Macaca mulatta: one gene and its partners. The protein of the gene in region 1 purifies or fractionates together with the protein of each later gene. This does not show direct contact. Links are inferred from orthologs where the notes say so. Each region holds a gene or a part of one and is shown in the gene's direction. Other genes may lie near its edges.

Region 1 (4,044 bases):
CCCTGCTGTAACATCCCTGATGGGTGGTCATTCAGCCTCTGCTGAATCATGCTCATTAGTGGAGGTCACTGTTTGAGTCCTGTTAGACAAGTGTGGTTATTGGTGTGTTCCCTTGTATTGAGTTGAAATCTGCTGTTTTATTCCACCACTGCTTTTCGGCAATATCCCTCACATCACATTCCAGATATGATCTTACTAGTGCAGAGTACAGCTGGAAAGATTTCTTCCTTTTTCTAGATATAGTGTATTAATGCACTGTTTTGGACTTAGATCACCCTAGATATTTTTCCCCATATACCATGCCTAAGTAACTACTTTTCTTAAACACTTATGAGTGTTAGTAAGTACCCATTGCCTTAAAATAGAAGGAAGGATGAGTAGGGATATAAAAGTATTTCTAGGTAGTCTGAATAGACTAAATAGACCTTTTCTTAAGAATATCTTAATTTTGTTGTTCTTTAAACAGTAACTTTCTACTTTTCCATTCTTTCCCCTGAAACAATACTGTTATTTTAAATGTTAAATCATAGTTAATATCAAACCTTGTTATTTTTTGAAGATAATCTTTTCAAATCACAAAGACAATTTAGCAACACTACAAAACATTTGGAAATGAGAAAAAGGGAAAACAGTACTCATAATTCCTCTACTTTTAAAAACCATTCATCTGGTATAATGGTTTTAGTTTCTATAGTCTTTTAAGAATTTTTTTATTGTCATAATCATATGTACATACAATTTTGAATCCTGCCTTTTTCACTTAGCATTATATCCTAAGCATTTTTCCAAGTTATTATAGTCGTTATAACCATCGTTTTTAATTGGCTGCATTATATTCTTTTGAATAGCTTAGTGGTGAAGAAAACAGACTGTGGAGCCAGACTGCCTGGGTTCGTATCCCAGCTCTGCCACTTACTGGCTCTGTGATCTTGGGCAAGTTATTTAACCTCTCTGTGTCTCAATTTTCCCATTCTATAAAATGCAAATAATGATATGCTCTACTTCATAGGGTTATAAGGATTAAATGTGTTAGTATATGTAAAGTACTTAGTGTGCCTGACATATAGTAAATGCTCTAGATCTTGTCAAGAATTATTGTCATCATTACTGAGTGCACATATCAAAAATTACTTAAATATGTCCTGTTTGGGGACTTGTAGGCTGCTTCCACTTCTTGTCCTTTTAAAACTTTGTTATGAGTAACAAAGTGTACCTTTTAAGATATTCTTCAGTATTATTTTTCATAGGCTGTTTTACTCTAATGTTTTTTTAAACTTTTAAACTGGCTTGTGCTCCACTTGAAGGTATTTGTACCGCATCTACACCTTTTGTATTGTTGGGAGATGTTTTGGATTGTCTTCCTTTGGATCAGTGTGACACAATATTCACTTTTGTGGAAAAAAATGTTGCTACTTGGAAATCAGTAAGTGCCTTAGTTTCTTTTCCTGCTAACTTTGTATTTCTGTAGATTCAGAGTTCTGAGGGTAGATTTAAAAAAAGAAATTATTTGTAGTATTGCTGATCGCCAACAAGTTTGTGCCTATGAAAAAATTATATACTGCTCTCTTGGGAGAGCCAAGTAAAAACCATGTGTGGAGAAAAACTTGAAATACAAAATTTGATTTAATTTGAGTAATAAAAACTAACTTGAAAATTCACACTTTCACATGTTAAAAACAGTATCATGTTTTCTTATCTTATATCTGAAAATATTTTCATTTCATTGAAAATGTTATTTACTTTAAAAAAGTGTAAGTGGCATAGTAGATTCTCAGTGCATGTTAGTGTTCTTTAATATTTTACTTCCTGCAACTTATTGAAGAATGTGTAACAAGTTCAGAAGAAGAGTGATAATTTCCATCTTAATTTCAGAATACATTCTATTCTGCTGGGAAAAATTACTTACTACGTATGTGCAATGGTAAGTAATTGAGTGATTAAATGATAGCTTTTTAAAATGTAAATATGCCCAGAAAAACATGTGGTTGAATTAAATACCAGTGATAACATTTTAAAAATAGATTAGGTATTTGTATTTTTAACTAACAATCGGATTTATTAGAACTCATTCACTTTAAGCTGTTTTTGTTCTGGGCATAAACTTAATGAAAGTCAGAAACATGTAGTAAAGTTTGTCTTTTTCATGTCATGTTGAACTTGTTTTGTTCCTAATTTCTAGTACTTTTTTGTGGCAGTGGTTTCTGCCCCCATTTTAAGAACTACTGCTTTAGGAAAATACTCTCGACAAACTGGTTTAGAAACTTTTAGGTATGGTTGTAATAAACATAGAATTATCTTTTCTGTGTAACGTTCATTTTCATATATCATTAGATCTCCTAAGAAGATTGTCTAAATCCCAGAATACAGTCTTCTGTGGACGGATTCAGCTCTTTTTGGCCAGGCTTTTCCCACTGTCTGAGAAATCAGGTAAGCTTTTATGCGTTAAATGAGTTTTCTGCAGGAAAATCTTTTCCAGTTTTTAATAGATTAAAATCTGTCATGATAATGAGAAAAATGGTTCTAAAAAGTTGAAAGACATCATAGAAATTGTCACTTTATTTTCTTTTACTTATAAATAGTTATAGCAGTCCTAGTATATAATACAGGTAATCTTGAAACAAAGTCATGGATTCTTTTAAGTTCAAAGCTTATTAACGTACAGTTGAATCATACTGAAACATGTAGATATAAACCGTCACATCTATATTTCGTAATGTATGCCTATTTTTGTGTTTCCATTTTCTCTCTCAGTCACGACTACTTAGCTATATAGACTTCCTTTCATTTCTCTTTTTTAACAGATTTTTATTGTGAAATATAATGCTTATATAGAAAAGTACATAAAGCAAATAATAATGAAACAAATACTGTATAACCACTCTGTAGCTCCTGAAATGGGACATTGCTTATTCTCCAGAGCCTTCCCCCTCCCCAGTCGGTTCAGATATGCGAGATTTTAATATCTCATTGCTTCAGTTCTCTTTTTCTTAATGCTGGGCTAATATACCACCTATTTTATATGTTGTGAGGATTAAATGAATTAAAACACGTGAAGAGCTTACAGTAGTGCCTGAGTATGGTTAGTATACACATATGTCTTTCCTAGCTCTGGTCTCTGAGAGGGCCGCAGAAGTAGTGATACTCCAGTAGCAATGAGCACATCTTCTCAAATGTAGATCATGAGGTCAGGAGATCGAGACCATCCTGGCTAACCCGGTGAAACCCCGTCTCTACTAAAAAATACAAAAAACTAGCCAGGCGAGGTGGCGGGCGCCTGTAGTCCCAGCTACTTGGGAGGCTGAGGCAGGAGAATGGCGTAAACCCGGGAGGCGGAGCTTGCAGTGAGCTGAGATCCGGCCACTGCACTCCAGCCTGGGCGACAGAGCGAGACTCCGTCTCAGGAAAGAAAGAAAAAAAAATCACTATGGTAGCTATAGCCTCATGAAATGTATTTCTTAGATAACAGGACTTGAAAGTTGAAATAACCCTTTGATTCATTGGCTACAAAATGGATGATGTATTAGCAGGCATGAAAACAACATTAATTTCCTTGTGCATCTCCATCAAAGCTCTTGGGTGACCAGGTGCATTGTGAATAAGCAATAACATTGTGAAAGGAGATCTTTTTTTTTCTGAGCAGTAAGTCTCAACAGTGGCCTTAAAATGTTCAGTAAACCATGCTATAAACAGATGTGCTGTCATCAGGGTTTGTCTTTATGGATGGAGCCCAAGGCAGAGTAGATTTAGCATAATTCTCAGGAGCCCCAGGATTTTCAGAATGGTAAATGAACATTGGCTTCAACTTAAAGTCACCAGCTGCGTTAGCCTTAACAAGAAGGTCAGCCTGTTCCTTGAAGGCAGGCAGTGACTTCTCTCTAGCTATGAAAGTCCTGGACGGCATCTTTCAATATCAGAATGTTTCATCTGCATTGAAAAATCTGTTAAGTGTAGACGCCTTCATCAATGTTCTTAGCTAGATCTTCTGATAACTTACTGCAGCTTCTCCATTGGTAGTTGCTGCTTCACCTTGTACTGTTATGTTAC
Region 2 (4,622 bases), on another chromosome or scaffold:
AAAATTTTATTTTATCAAATTTATTCTTTTACTGATGCTAATAAAAATCAGTGGTGGCTCACCCCTGTGATCCCAGCACTTTGGGAGACTGAGGCAGGAGGACTGCTTGAGGTCAACACTTTGGGACCAGCCTGGGCAATATAGTAAGATCTCATTCTACAAAAAACAAAATATTAGCTGGGTATGGTGGCCCATGTTTGTGGTGCTAGCTACTCTTGAGACTGAGGCAGGAGAGTCTCTTGAACCTTAAGGTCGAAGTTAAGTTGAGCTGTGATCAAACCACTGCCCTCCAGCTTGGGCAACAAACCAAGACTCTGTGTCAAAAAAACAGAAAAAAAATCCTTTGTGTCACCTGATCCAAAGAAGGGAGTCTGTGAGAGGGAAAGAGGGAGCAAGGCTGCAGGTCAGGAGTCACCAGGGACAGGTTATCTTAAGCTCTCAGTCCAGCGCCATTGTCCATATATCTCCCACCTACCCCTAGCCTCAGGAAAATGGCTCCTCACTGTACCCAAAGTAGACATGGGGTCTTTCTGCAAGAGGAATACACCCATACCATTTTCCTCCCTTCAAACGACCATAATGACCCATGGTATGGTTAGTATTTGGGTTGTAGGTTTATCACATGGCGAGGTACTCCTTTCTTTGTGATGGCTCTAACCTTGATAACTACCTGTTTTCCTGGGCTGCTTCCGGGACCCATCTTTCTGAGCCTTTCTTTTTCATTGTCGAAGTCCAAGATCAGTGTGACGGTACAAGGTTATGATATTTTAATTGATGTCTAGGAAAACAGAATGCATTCTGATCTATTAAAATTCCTGATTTAGGAATACCGTCTACGATTTAAGAGAAACATTTAATGAATGTTAATAATGACGATGAGTGGTTTTCTAAGAACCCATAAAGTTAAAAGGCTTTAAAAGGGTGGTAAGATTCTCACTGTGCAACTCAATAACGATTTGTGAGGCTCAACGAAATTCTTACCCAAATTATTTGCAATTATTAAACAGAAATAATGAAAAATGACCTTGAATTACAGGGCGAGAGATGAGACTGTTAAGACTGTCTTTGTAACTAAGCACTGTAAAGACTGAGACAGCTGCAAGGTGAAGTTTTCCTCGAGTTCTTCTGGTGAATTGTGGGAAAGGGATTGAACGTCTGAGGTCTCTTCCAGCTCTGAAACCGCAGTGTTTCGTACAGTGTTCATTTTTTTTATGGGAGGGGTCTCGGGGTCTTGCTCTTTCGCCCGGGCTGGAGGTTGGAGTATAGTGGCGTGACACGATTACGGCTCACGGCAGCCTTGAACTCCTGGGCTCAAGCGATGCTCCCACCTCAGCCTCTAGAGTAGCTGGGACTCAGTGTCTGTTCTTAACTCCCCTCGTAGAACCCACTTTCCTCCAGGGCAAAGTTACTCACTTAAGGACCTTACGGCTTAGCCCGAGGATTTCCTGGGTCACCACGCAGGCGGCTTCAGGTCCCAACCGTGACTCCTCCCCCACCCACAATGCACCTCGCGGTTCCCTCTAGGTGGCAGCTGTGTCACGTGTCACCCGACGGAGCGCGCTTCTGTTTGGCGCACGCGCAGAGTGCAGCCCCCAGCTATTTTTTTCTCCGTGGCGGCGGCGACGAGCGGAAGTTCTTGGGAGCGCCAGTTCCGTCAGTGTGTTCGAGTGGACAAAATGGCGAAGATCGCCAAGACTCACGAAGGTAAGCGGTCTTTCCCTGCTTACGTGTTTTCTTGGTTGCTAGCTTACTAAGAGCCTTTCTTCCTAGGATTCTGCCTTTTCCTATGGTTTCTTTCATGGGAGCCGAGCCCGCGTTTCGGGGCCAAGGGTCGTCTCCTCCGCGCCAGCGGCGCAGGCCACTGCCCCGCGTAATGGCGTCCTCCTCTTACACCCCCGACAGGCGCTTTGTTCGGTGTTTGGGACCTGCTACTTCAGAGTAGCTTCTCTTCTCTGACCAGAGGGCCTTGTTTAAGCGGCTTCCTCAGTAGGATTCGTGGGCAAGGGATCTGGGAAGCGGGCGTGGGGAGAAAGTCTCACTCGCCTGTCGACAGTGTCGTCCGCATAGTTTATGCAGAAGAGGGTCAGAAAAGCACTGAAATACGGCATCCGCTTTTCCGGCAGGACTGAATCGAATTTAGTTAAACCGAGATTCCATTACTCCTGCCCCCGTGTGTGTTCAAGCGTCAGTGTTACTTGCTTATTTTTCTTGCACGAAACGATTTGGGGATAAAATCTGGTAGTAGTTTTCCCTCCCTTAGTCACTTTTAGTATAATATTGATCTTTTTCTTTGGAGACTGGTTATTGGAAGAGCCAGATGGAAAAGGAAAAGATAAATTACTTTCATTAACGGCCGAAGCTTTCAAACTAGTTGATCGTTTTATGGAATGCAGAGTGTGCAAATTAGGAAAACGTTGGGAATAGACTGGAGTTCATTAGGAAATATCCAGAGATGACAGGAAACGGGATCACTTTTCAGAAAAGACGAGGCATGGGAAGTTGGAACTGCATTCTTTGATTTCTGACTTGGAATCCGAGATTTTCACTGAGAACGAGACTTCTAATTCACTTTTGTTTCATATGTTCTTTCTGGGTATTTGGCTCAGCATTAGTCTGTGAAAGGTAACAGACTGAGGCCATCCAAAATTTTACAGTCAGGTAGGGGAAACAGATGTGTATGTCCTCATTCTCTCATGAGGCCAAATGCATGCTTAAGTAGAAGAACAAACAACATGTTCTGGGAACCTGGATAACGGAATTATTATGCTTAGGGTTATTTCACTGAAGAGGTTACATGTCCCTGTTTTAAAAGGATCAGTTTTAAATCGGGAAGGACATCTGAGCATGAGAACATCTTGTAACAAGGTATTGAATCGTGAAAGGTGTGTTTGAGTAGTAGTCCACTGTGGCAGGAACAGTGGGTGCAAGGAGAGAAGAAATAAATGAATCTGTAAAGGTTGGTTTAGGACCAGAATATGAATGGCTTTGAATTTTTGGGTCACCCGGAGGACCTGAAGTCCAGCTTTCTGCTGTTTATCAGACATGCTAATGAATTGGCAATGGCTTTAATACCAGTATTATTTTAGGTATTTAGGATTTAAATGCTCTCTTAGTGTTCTTAGGCCTTATTATTTTTCTTTAGACTATCTCAAATATAACCTTTTGCAAAATAAGTAGAAAATATAAAGATGTGCTGTTTTTGTTCATTCAGGAGGTTATTCATTTGGGGATATTGATAGTATAGCTTTGATATTTATTGGTAGCATAAGATGCTCTCAAACAGGAAAATCAAAGTTTTGATCAGTTTTCCTGAATTTTTTAGAAACCCAGCTAAAAGCTTTGGTCTATTGCTATTCATTGTCCAAACTTGTTATTTTTGAGATTATTCTATCAATGTGAATTAAGTGATGCCATAAGAAAATAGCAGAACATTCAATACTTGAACACTGTCTGTGCCCATCCCTATGGGTTATAAGTCAGGGGATAATAAATGTTTAGTAGAAATACACATAATACTGACATAGCTTCTTGCTTCCTTCCTAATGACATTTTCTTGGTGGAACTCTAATTATTCATGGTCCATCACTGTTTTCTCTTGTTAAGCCATTTTTGATAAACTGAAGCAGAATTAATGCTTTTAGGGGCAGTGCTGCCATAGCACTCAGTATAAATGTTATATTACTTAGAGTAGTCTATTGTGTTAAGATTTTCTCTTCTACTTAGCTCCAAGATTGAGATAAACTGGTAACTATTTATTTATTTTGCTGTCATATTCTTTCCAAACATTTATTTTATTTATTTATTTTTTTTGAGATAGAGTCTTGCTCTGTTGCCCAGGCTGAAGTGCAGTGGTGCAATCTCAGCTCACAGCAACCTCCACCTTTTAGGTTCAAGCTATTCTCCTGCTTCAGCCTCCAGAGTACTGGGATCACAGGCATGCGCCACCACACCTGACTGATTTTTGTAGTTTTAGAGACAGGGTTTCGCCATGTTGGCCAGGCTGGTCTCAAACTCTTGACCACAAGTGATCCTCCCACCTCGGCCTCCCAAAGTGCTGGGATTGCTGGCATGAGCCACAATGCCTGAACCCTTTCAAACATTTCTATTAGGATCAGGCCTCACATCCTCTTTAACCAATCTGATTATATTTTACCCTGGCCAATGTGGCTTATGCTTTCCAGGATTGAAATATAAAAAGAGCTGGACTTACTCAAATCAGATAAAATCTTTTAGATCTTTCCGCATATTAAATTGTGTCAGGTGTATGGTTATGAATATGCATAATCTTGCCATCCAGCAGTTCTTCAGATACTGCTGACTTTGGCAAACAAATAGGGAACACATATTCTTCTCTGTTTTGTAAGGGGAAAAATGGGTTAATCAAAAATCCTGTGTATCAGCTTGTTTTGCCACTAATCCTTTGAATTAGATTTTTTGGTACATCACCAAGCTGAAAAAGTTTTTTCCCTAATTCTTTGCTTGATGAGTGGCTGGAATAGTTATAGTTTTGTTATTGTGTATCTTGCTAATGTATTTTTTTTTCCTGGGTTTATTTTTATTTTTATTTTATTTTATTTTTTTTTTTTTTGAGACAGAGTCTCGCTCTGTCACCCAGGCTGGAG
Region 3 (4,540 bases), on another chromosome or scaffold:
CAACCTCCTTTGGAGGTAGGTAATGGTCCATTTTACTGATGAAGGAACTGAGACTCCAAAGTGCTAAGCAGCTTGCCTAAGGTCACACATGGTGGATGGGGCAGGGCCAGCCAGCTCGAAACCCAGGTGTGTCCGATGCGGACCATGGTCTTCCTTAGTTTATCATTATTTGCTCCTCCATGGTTAGCGCTGGCAGGGCCTCAGAGACTGCAGGGTCTCACCTACGCCCTCCTCAGATGCGAAAACAGACCCAAAAACCTGTCCAAAGCTACCCAGGGAGGAAGACGCAAAATCAGGACTCAGGCCAGGCGCAGCGGCTCACGCCTGTAATCCCAGGACTTTGGGAGGCCGAGGTGGGTGGATGGCTTAAGGTTAGGAGTTCGAGATCAGCTTAGCTAACATGGTGAAAGTCTGTCTCTGCAAAAAATAAGAAAGAAAGAGAAAGAAAGAAAGAAGGAAAGAAAGAAAGAAAAGAAAGAAAGAAAGAAAAGAAAGTAAGAAAGAAAAGAGAGGAAGGAAGAAAAAGAGAAATGAAGAAAAGAAAGAGAAGAAAGGAAGGAAGGAAGAAAAAAGAAAGGAAGAAAGGAAGAAAGAAAGAAAGAAAGAGAGAAAGAAAATCAGGACTCAGAACCTAACAGCTGATCAGTGACACCCTCGGGATGCCTAGACAACCCCCCTCCCCCACTAGGCTAGAAGTATCCGCAGGAAACTACACTCACAGGTCTACAGTGGATGGCACCCTCAGGAGTCAGGAAATCAGTGTCCAAGTTCTGGCCTTTGGGCAGGTCTCAAATTTTGTGTATGTAACATGGGCCAATTTTGGGGAGACTTTTAAGAGACAAAGGCAGGCAAGGCAAGTAACGTTATAAACCTACAGATTGCCCAGAGGTGATATATCAAGGCTCATCGTAAACTCTGGAAGACTTAGATCCAGCTTTTATCCCTTAAATGGCGTCACCTCGGATCAATTTCTATACCTCAGTTTCCTCATATATGAAATGGGGGTCATAATGGGATCTACTTCATAGAGTTGTTCTAAGGGTTCGAGCGCTTGGAAGTGTCTGGCCCATGGTGATCGCTCAGTAAAGGTGGCTTTTAGTACAGGTTTAGCCTCAAGGCGTAGCTACATTGTAACCCTTGACTACCCCGGTCTCCTCCAAGCTCCGTCGCTCCCGCAGGCCCCGCCCCCGTCCCCGCTCAGTCCCGCCTTCTCCTCCCCAGGTCCCGCCCGCGCAGCACGCCCGGGTTCCTCCCGCCACCAGGGGGCGGCGGCGCTGAGGGCGGCCTTCTGGCCGAAGCCGGCGACGCTCTAGGTAGCTGCGGCGGCTCCTCTGTGGCCAGTGGCTGCGGCGCTCTAGCCGGCGGCCGTAAGGGGCGGGCTCTCGGTGGTGCGGCCGGCAGGCAGCTATGGCGGCCGTACGGGGCCTGCGGGTGTCGGTGAAGGCGGAGGCCCCGGCGGGGCCAGACCTGGGGCTCCCGTCCCCTGAGGCGGAGTCGGGTGTTGACCGTGGCGAGCCGGAGCCCATGGAGGTGGAGGAGGGCGAGCTGGAAATCGTGCCCGTGCGGCGCTCGCTCAAGGAACTGATCCCGGTACGGGCGGGGGTCGGGGGGCAAGGAGGAGGTCGCGGGGCTAGTGCCCAGCGCCGGAGGGGGCCGGAAGGGGCGGTGGCTGGAGCCCCAGCCGGGGAAGTCTGGGGAGCGGGAGAGAAGGGAGCCAGCGTCCTGGGGACGAGGGCTCCGGGCTGGAGGAGGGACGCGGAGCGGGAGAAAGGACGCCGGTGCGCCGGAAATGGGTGTTGAGGGGGCTGGAGGGGGTGGCGGAGAGCTGGGAGAGAGTTGAGGACCCCCCTCCGCTGCCCCCTCTGAGCCGTGCTGTGCAAAGGGGTGAGTGAGGAGTGTCTGGAGGGCTGAGATAAAGGGGGAGCCCTGGGCGGGAACAGAACCGGGAGCAGCCCAGAAGGAGCTGTTGGGTGGCGCCAGCAACCAGGTCTCTCCTGTGGGTCTTGCCCCGGAGGAATTTGTATCTGTGAAACATGGCACTCGCTCTTTCTCTTGGGAGGGCTGCACTTGTCAGCAGCAGAAACTCACTGTTTCTGTCGTGACTTCAGGGTCATCTTGCGCCACCCGCCCCCCCCCCCCCCCGCCGCAGCTCCACTGGCACCTACACCGTGGCCCCAGCATCTCACTCTTAATGAAAGTAAACTAGCAAACGATCAATAGACGCCCTTGATCCCTCATTTACCGCGCTGGGGATGGTGAGGTGTTTTGCTTGTGACTTGGTGGCTGTAGATCCAGTTCTTAGAGCTGATTTGAGGCCTGGATGACTCCTCTTAATTTCTAACTTAATATGAACTACTTTTCACCACATGTCAACATATTTAGACTGAAGTTATGGAGAAAGGTTAAGGTATGATCGCTAGAGATGGCAAACGTTATTGATTATGATTAACAACAGCTAATATATTAGCATTTACCATTCACTACATTGTGTCACTTAAATATACTGGCCATGCACACCTTTAGTGCCAGCTGTTCAGGAGTCTAAGTTCCAGACCAGCCTCAGTAATATAGCAACACCCCTTCGAGGTCCCTCCTTTCGCCTCTCCCCATCTCAAAAACAAAACAAAACCAAAATAAGTATCACTGCAGTTGTGAAGTAGGTGTTATCATCCTTTCAGTCATTCAGTTCAACATGGTTTTTGTTTTGTTTTGAGACGGAGTTTCGCTCTTGTTACCCAGGCTGGAGCGCAATGGCGCAATCTCAGCTCACCGCAACCTCTGCCTCCCGGGTTCAAGCGATTCTCCTGCCTCAGCCTCCTGAGTAGCTGAGCCCAATGGTGCGATCTCGGTTTACCACAACCTCCACCTCCTGGGTTCAAGTGATTCTCCTGCCTCAGCCTCCCAAGTAGCTGAAATTACGGGGGTGTGCCACCATGTCCGGCTAATCTTGTATTTTTAGTAGAGACAGGATTTCTCCATGTTGGCCGGGCTGGTCTCGAACTCCTGACCTCAGGTGATCCTCCCGCCTCTGCCTCCCAGAGTGCTGGGATTACAGGCATGAGCCACCGTGCCTGGCCAACATGTATTTATTGCATCCCCCACTATGTACCAAGACACAGCCCTAGGTGCTTGATCAAGATCAACCTCCCTGCTGGAGTGTATGCTCCATATAAACTCTCAATGACAAAAAGGAGCCACCCTTGTGAAGACTGAAAAGGGGTTCCCCCAGCCGGGGCAATAGCAAGCACAGAGGGTCTGGGGTGGGTCCAGGATCGTTGCAAAGTTCTGTAGCGCTAATGGAAGGGCAGTAAAAGAGGTCAGGAAGGCAGGTAGATACCACGCAGGAAACTGGGACCCAGAGAGGTCAAGGAAACTATACAGTGTCCTGTAATTAGTGACCGTCAGAGCTGAGGCTTCCGTCCTCGCTTGGTTTCCAAATCCCATCCCCTTTGCATTGCACTGTGCTGTATTTGCCTCAGGAATTCTAGGTGAGGCTGGACTTCTGCATTGAGGTGGAGGGTTGGGCTCCACCTGGTGGCTGGGCATGGGGAATTCGTTCAGACTAGGTTGGGGAGCTAAGTGACTGTGCTTCATCTTTTGACATTTTCCACAAAAGCCTTTAGATTTTTCTGTACGTGGATACTTTCAGTTGATGGAATCACTTCAGGTTTTGGACAGGCTCTGCTCTTCTTATTGGAGTGGTTGATTGATACCATGGAATCACTGGGATGGGGCTTCTTAATAAAAGGTTGTCAGGGGTGGGGAAGGGTTTTGAAAAGAATGACTCTTCAAAAAGAACCAGACTGGCCAGGTGCGGTGGCTCATGCCTGTAATCCCAGCACTTTGGCAGGCTGAGACAGACAGATCACCTGAGGTCAGGAGTTTGAGACCAGCCGGCCAACATGGTGAAACCTCGTCTCTACTAAAAATACAAAAATTAGCTGGCCATGGTGGCGCACACCTGTAATCCCAGCTACTCAGGAGGCTGAGGCAGGAGCATCACTTGAACCCGGGAGGTAGCAGTTGCAGTGAGCCGAGTTTGCACCACTGCCCTCCAGCCTAGGTGATAGAGCAAGACTCCATCTCAAAACACAAACAGATAAACAAAAAGAACCAGACTCTGGGTGGTGGCTCATGCATGTAATCCTAACACTTTGGGAGATTGAGGCAGGAGGACTGCTTTAGCCCAGGAGTTGGAGACCAGCCTGGGCAACATAGGGAGACCCTGTCTCTACAAAAATTAAAAAAAAAATGAGCTGGGTGTGGTGGCATATTCCTGAGGGCCCAGCTACTGGGGAAGCTGAGGTGGGAGGATGGCTTGAGCCTGGGGAGTCGAGGCTGCAGTGAGCTGTGATCATTCTACTGCACTCCAGCCTGGTCAACAGAGCGAGACACTGTCACAAAAAAATAAAAATGAAAAAAAAATAAAAAAGAAGAACCAGCTGTCAGCCCGACTTTTATCATAGGTTTTTCCTCAATTGCTGTCTGAATTTCTCACCCTTCCCCTTTGTGTTAGGACACGAGCAGAAGATACGAAAAC
Region 4 (2,570 bases), on another chromosome or scaffold:
TGTTTCTGAGCCCGAGCCGAATGGGACCACGGGACCCAAATAAGCCCCCGTCCCTCCTGGACGTAAAGGCACGCGCACATACCTCTAGGAGTGTGAGACTTCTGCCACCTGTTGGGTTGGTTCTAGGCCCCACCTGCCCTCAGGGAGCCTCGACAGGGCCGGTGGGAGATGGGCTTGTGTCCTGGGAGGCAGCTGCAGCTCTCACCCCAGCGGCTGTCTCTGCCTCAGGCTCCCCTCCCTGAAGCGTGTCTCGAGGCGCACGGGCACGGCTGCTCCGCGCCAGCGCGTAAGTGGATTGCAGCTCCTCCCGCGCCTGCGCTCGCTGGCCACCCCCCAGCCCCTCAGGCACCAGGACTGGCCACTCCCGCGGCTCACTCTGCCCTCGTCACGGTGCCACTGGCTCCCTGGCACAGGTTGGGAGGGGTCTGGGTCTGGTCTGGGGTGGGGGTCCTGCATGGCAGACGCTCATGCCCACGCATGTCTTGCCCTCCCCACCCAGACATGCGGCGGGATGTGCAGGAGATCTTCCGCCTGACACCACACGAGAAGCAGTGCATGATGTTCAGCGCCACCCTGAGCAAGGACATCCGGCCTGTGTGCAGGAAGTTCATGCAGGATGTGAGTAAGGCGAGAGTGGCAGCTTCGGCCTTCCCCAGGGGCCTGGAGCCTGGGGCCCCAGGACACCCGCACAGCCCACATGCCTCGGAGGATGCTGGGATGCTGGGAGCCGGCGGAGCCTCCTTTCCTCCCCTCGGTCTTGTCAAACTGGGAGTCAAGCTTGGTCCACACCTGAGCCGGGCCAGAGCTTACATCCAGGTTTTGAGCGATGTTTACTGAGGTCTGGTGCAGGAGGCCCTCTGGGAAGCGTCGCACAAAGGAGTCGCCCACTGGAAGGTTCTGGGCAGGCGAGATGCCCAGAGGTGATCCCTGCCCGCCCCTCCCACCTCCCTTCCCACACAGCCCATGGAGGTGTTTGTGGACGACGAGACCAAGCTCACGCTGCACGGCCTGCAGCAGTACTACGTCAAACTCAAAGACAGTGAGAAGAACCGCAAGCTCTTTGATCTCCTGGACGTGCTGGAGTTTAACCAGGTGACACTTCCATCAGCCCGTCCTGGGGCTCTGGACCATCGGGAGGTCGCTGGGCCGCCGGACTGTGTGTCCCTGACCGCCACTCCTTCCTTCAGGTGATAATCTTCGTCAAGTCAGTGCAGCGCTGCATGGCCCTGGCCCAGCTCCTCGTGGAGCAGAACTTCCCGGCCATCGCCATCCACCGGGGCATGGCCCAGGAGGAGCGGTGAGTGCGAGCCACCCGCCAAGGCTGCAGGGAGCGCCACCCAGGAGCCCAGTGTCTGACGGCCTCCACTTGTTTCTCCTGCACCCCAGCCTGTCACGCTATCAGCAGTTCAAGGATTTCCAGCGGCGGATCCTGGTGGCCACCAATCTGTTTGGCCGGGGGATGGACATCGAGCGAGTCAACATCGTCTTTAACTATGACATGCCTGAGGACTCGGACACTTACTTGCACCGGGTGAGCGGCCTCACGGGCATGTCGCTTTCCCCTGGCGGTGGGGTGGGGCCCCAACCCTGCTTTTCCTCAAGTCCTGAGGTGTTATCTGTGGCCTGACCCTGATCCTGTCTGCCTGCAGGTGGCCCGGGCGGGTCGCTTTGGCACCAAAGGCCTAGCCATCACTTTTGTGTCTGACGAGAATGATGCCAAAATCCTCAATGACGTCCAGGACCGGTTTGAAGTTAATGTGGCAGAACTTCCAGAGGAAATTGACATATCCACATACAGTAAGTGCCTTGGGCAGGGCAGGGGGCTGAGGCAGAGGGTTCCTACCCCGGCCCTTTGGTTCACCGCTTCCTGTGTCTTACAGTTGAGCAGAGCCGGTAACCACCACGTGCCCCACCAGTCCAGAGCCGCCCACCCGGAGCTGCCCACCTGGAGCCGCCCGCATGCAGCTTCACCTCCCCTTTCCAGGTGCCACTGTTGAGAAGCTAGAAATTGTGTGAGAATAAACTTGTTATTACGGAAACCTGGCTCCCACACCATCTGTTTCTTAGTCATCTCGGCCTTTGACGGACACCCTGGGCCTGGCGTCTGAATCACCACCAGCAGGCAAGGCCATCTTCTGTATGCATGTGTTTAATTTTAAGTGTCAACATTGAAAAGTTTGAACAGATAAAAACACATTACACAACATCCACAACCTTTACAACAGTGAGAACCTCCTGCCTGGGCAGGCAGGGCAGGCCTCTGTACCGTGAGCCTCAGGCAGTGGCCCCAAGGGGCTCTGCCAGGGGGCCTCTGACATCAGTCTTCGCTTAAGAAGGAAGCTGAGCCGCAGCACCTAGTCTTTTCAGTTCTGCAGCAGACGTGAGAGGAAAAGTCCAGGCCGGGACGAGCCCTCAGTCTGTCCTGAGTACTAGCCCCAGGTGCCAAGGCAACATGCTGCAGCCCTGGGCCAGCCCCAGTACTTGCCCTGGGTCACAAGGTGGAGGAGAGAGGCAGCCAGCAGTAGGACCAGTGGCTCCGGCTCCACCCCACTGGGTGTCCTGGGCTTTGA

What was found.
Region 2: the proteins of THOC1 (region 1) and SF3B1 purify together in Homo sapiens (co-immunoprecipitation; 4 studies listed by BioGRID and IntAct, with this or other methods). This does not show direct contact. The link is inferred for Macaca mulatta from reciprocal best matches to the Homo sapiens genes THOC1 and SF3B1.
Region 3: the proteins of THOC1 (region 1) and NCBP3 purify together in Homo sapiens (co-immunoprecipitation; 4 studies listed by BioGRID and IntAct, with this or other methods). This does not show direct contact. The link is inferred for Macaca mulatta from reciprocal best matches to the Homo sapiens genes THOC1 and NCBP3.
Region 4: the proteins of THOC1 (region 1) and DDX39A purify together in Homo sapiens (affinity purification with mass spectrometry; 3 studies listed by BioGRID and IntAct, with this or other methods). This does not show direct contact. The link is inferred for Macaca mulatta from reciprocal best matches to the Homo sapiens genes THOC1 and DDX39A.

What each region holds. Positions count from the first base shown.
Region 1 is NC_133423.1:71,588,421-71,592,464, reverse strand, and holds part of THOC1 (THO complex subunit 1), read left to right. Parts: intron 1-1,304; coding exon 1,305-1,423; intron 1,424-1,872; coding exon 1,873-1,921; intron 1,922-2,331; coding exon 2,332-2,427; intron 2,428-4,044. UniProt on the Homo sapiens protein: Component of the THO subcomplex of the TREX complex which is thought to couple mRNA transcription, processing and nuclear export, and which specifically associates with spliced mRNA and not with unspliced pre-mRNA.
Region 2 is NC_133417.1:102,376,268-102,380,889, reverse strand, and holds the start of SF3B1 (splicing factor 3B subunit 1), read left to right. Parts: upstream 1-1,627; 5' UTR 1,628-1,676; coding exon 1,677-1,704; intron 1,705-4,622. UniProt on the Homo sapiens protein: Component of the 17S U2 SnRNP complex of the spliceosome, a large ribonucleoprotein complex that removes introns from transcribed pre-mRNAs.
Region 3 is NC_133421.1:5,326,786-5,331,325, reverse strand, and holds the start of NCBP3 (nuclear cap-binding protein subunit 3), read left to right. Parts: upstream 1-1,399; 5' UTR 1,400-1,407; coding exon 1,408-1,590; intron 1,591-2,072; exon of another isoform or gene 2,073-2,958; intron 2,959-3,874; exon of another isoform or gene 3,875-4,432; intron 4,433-4,516; coding exon 4,517-4,540. UniProt on the Homo sapiens protein: Associates with NCBP1/CBP80 to form an alternative cap-binding complex (CBC) which plays a key role in mRNA export. NCBP3 serves as adapter protein linking the capped RNAs (m7GpppG-capped RNA) to NCBP1/CBP80.
Region 4 is NC_133424.1:15,011,010-15,013,579, reverse strand, and holds the end of DDX39A (ATP-dependent RNA helicase DDX39A), read left to right. Parts: intron 1-499; coding exon 500-618; intron 619-960; coding exon 961-1,092; intron 1,093-1,187; coding exon 1,188-1,297; intron 1,298-1,386; coding exon 1,387-1,531; intron 1,532-1,649; coding exon 1,650-1,797; intron 1,798-1,880; coding exon 1,881-1,897; 3' UTR 1,898-1,909; downstream 1,910-2,570. UniProt on the Homo sapiens protein: Helicase that plays an essential role in mRNA export and is involved in multiple steps in RNA metabolism including alternative splicing. Regulates nuclear mRNA export to the cytoplasm through association with ECD.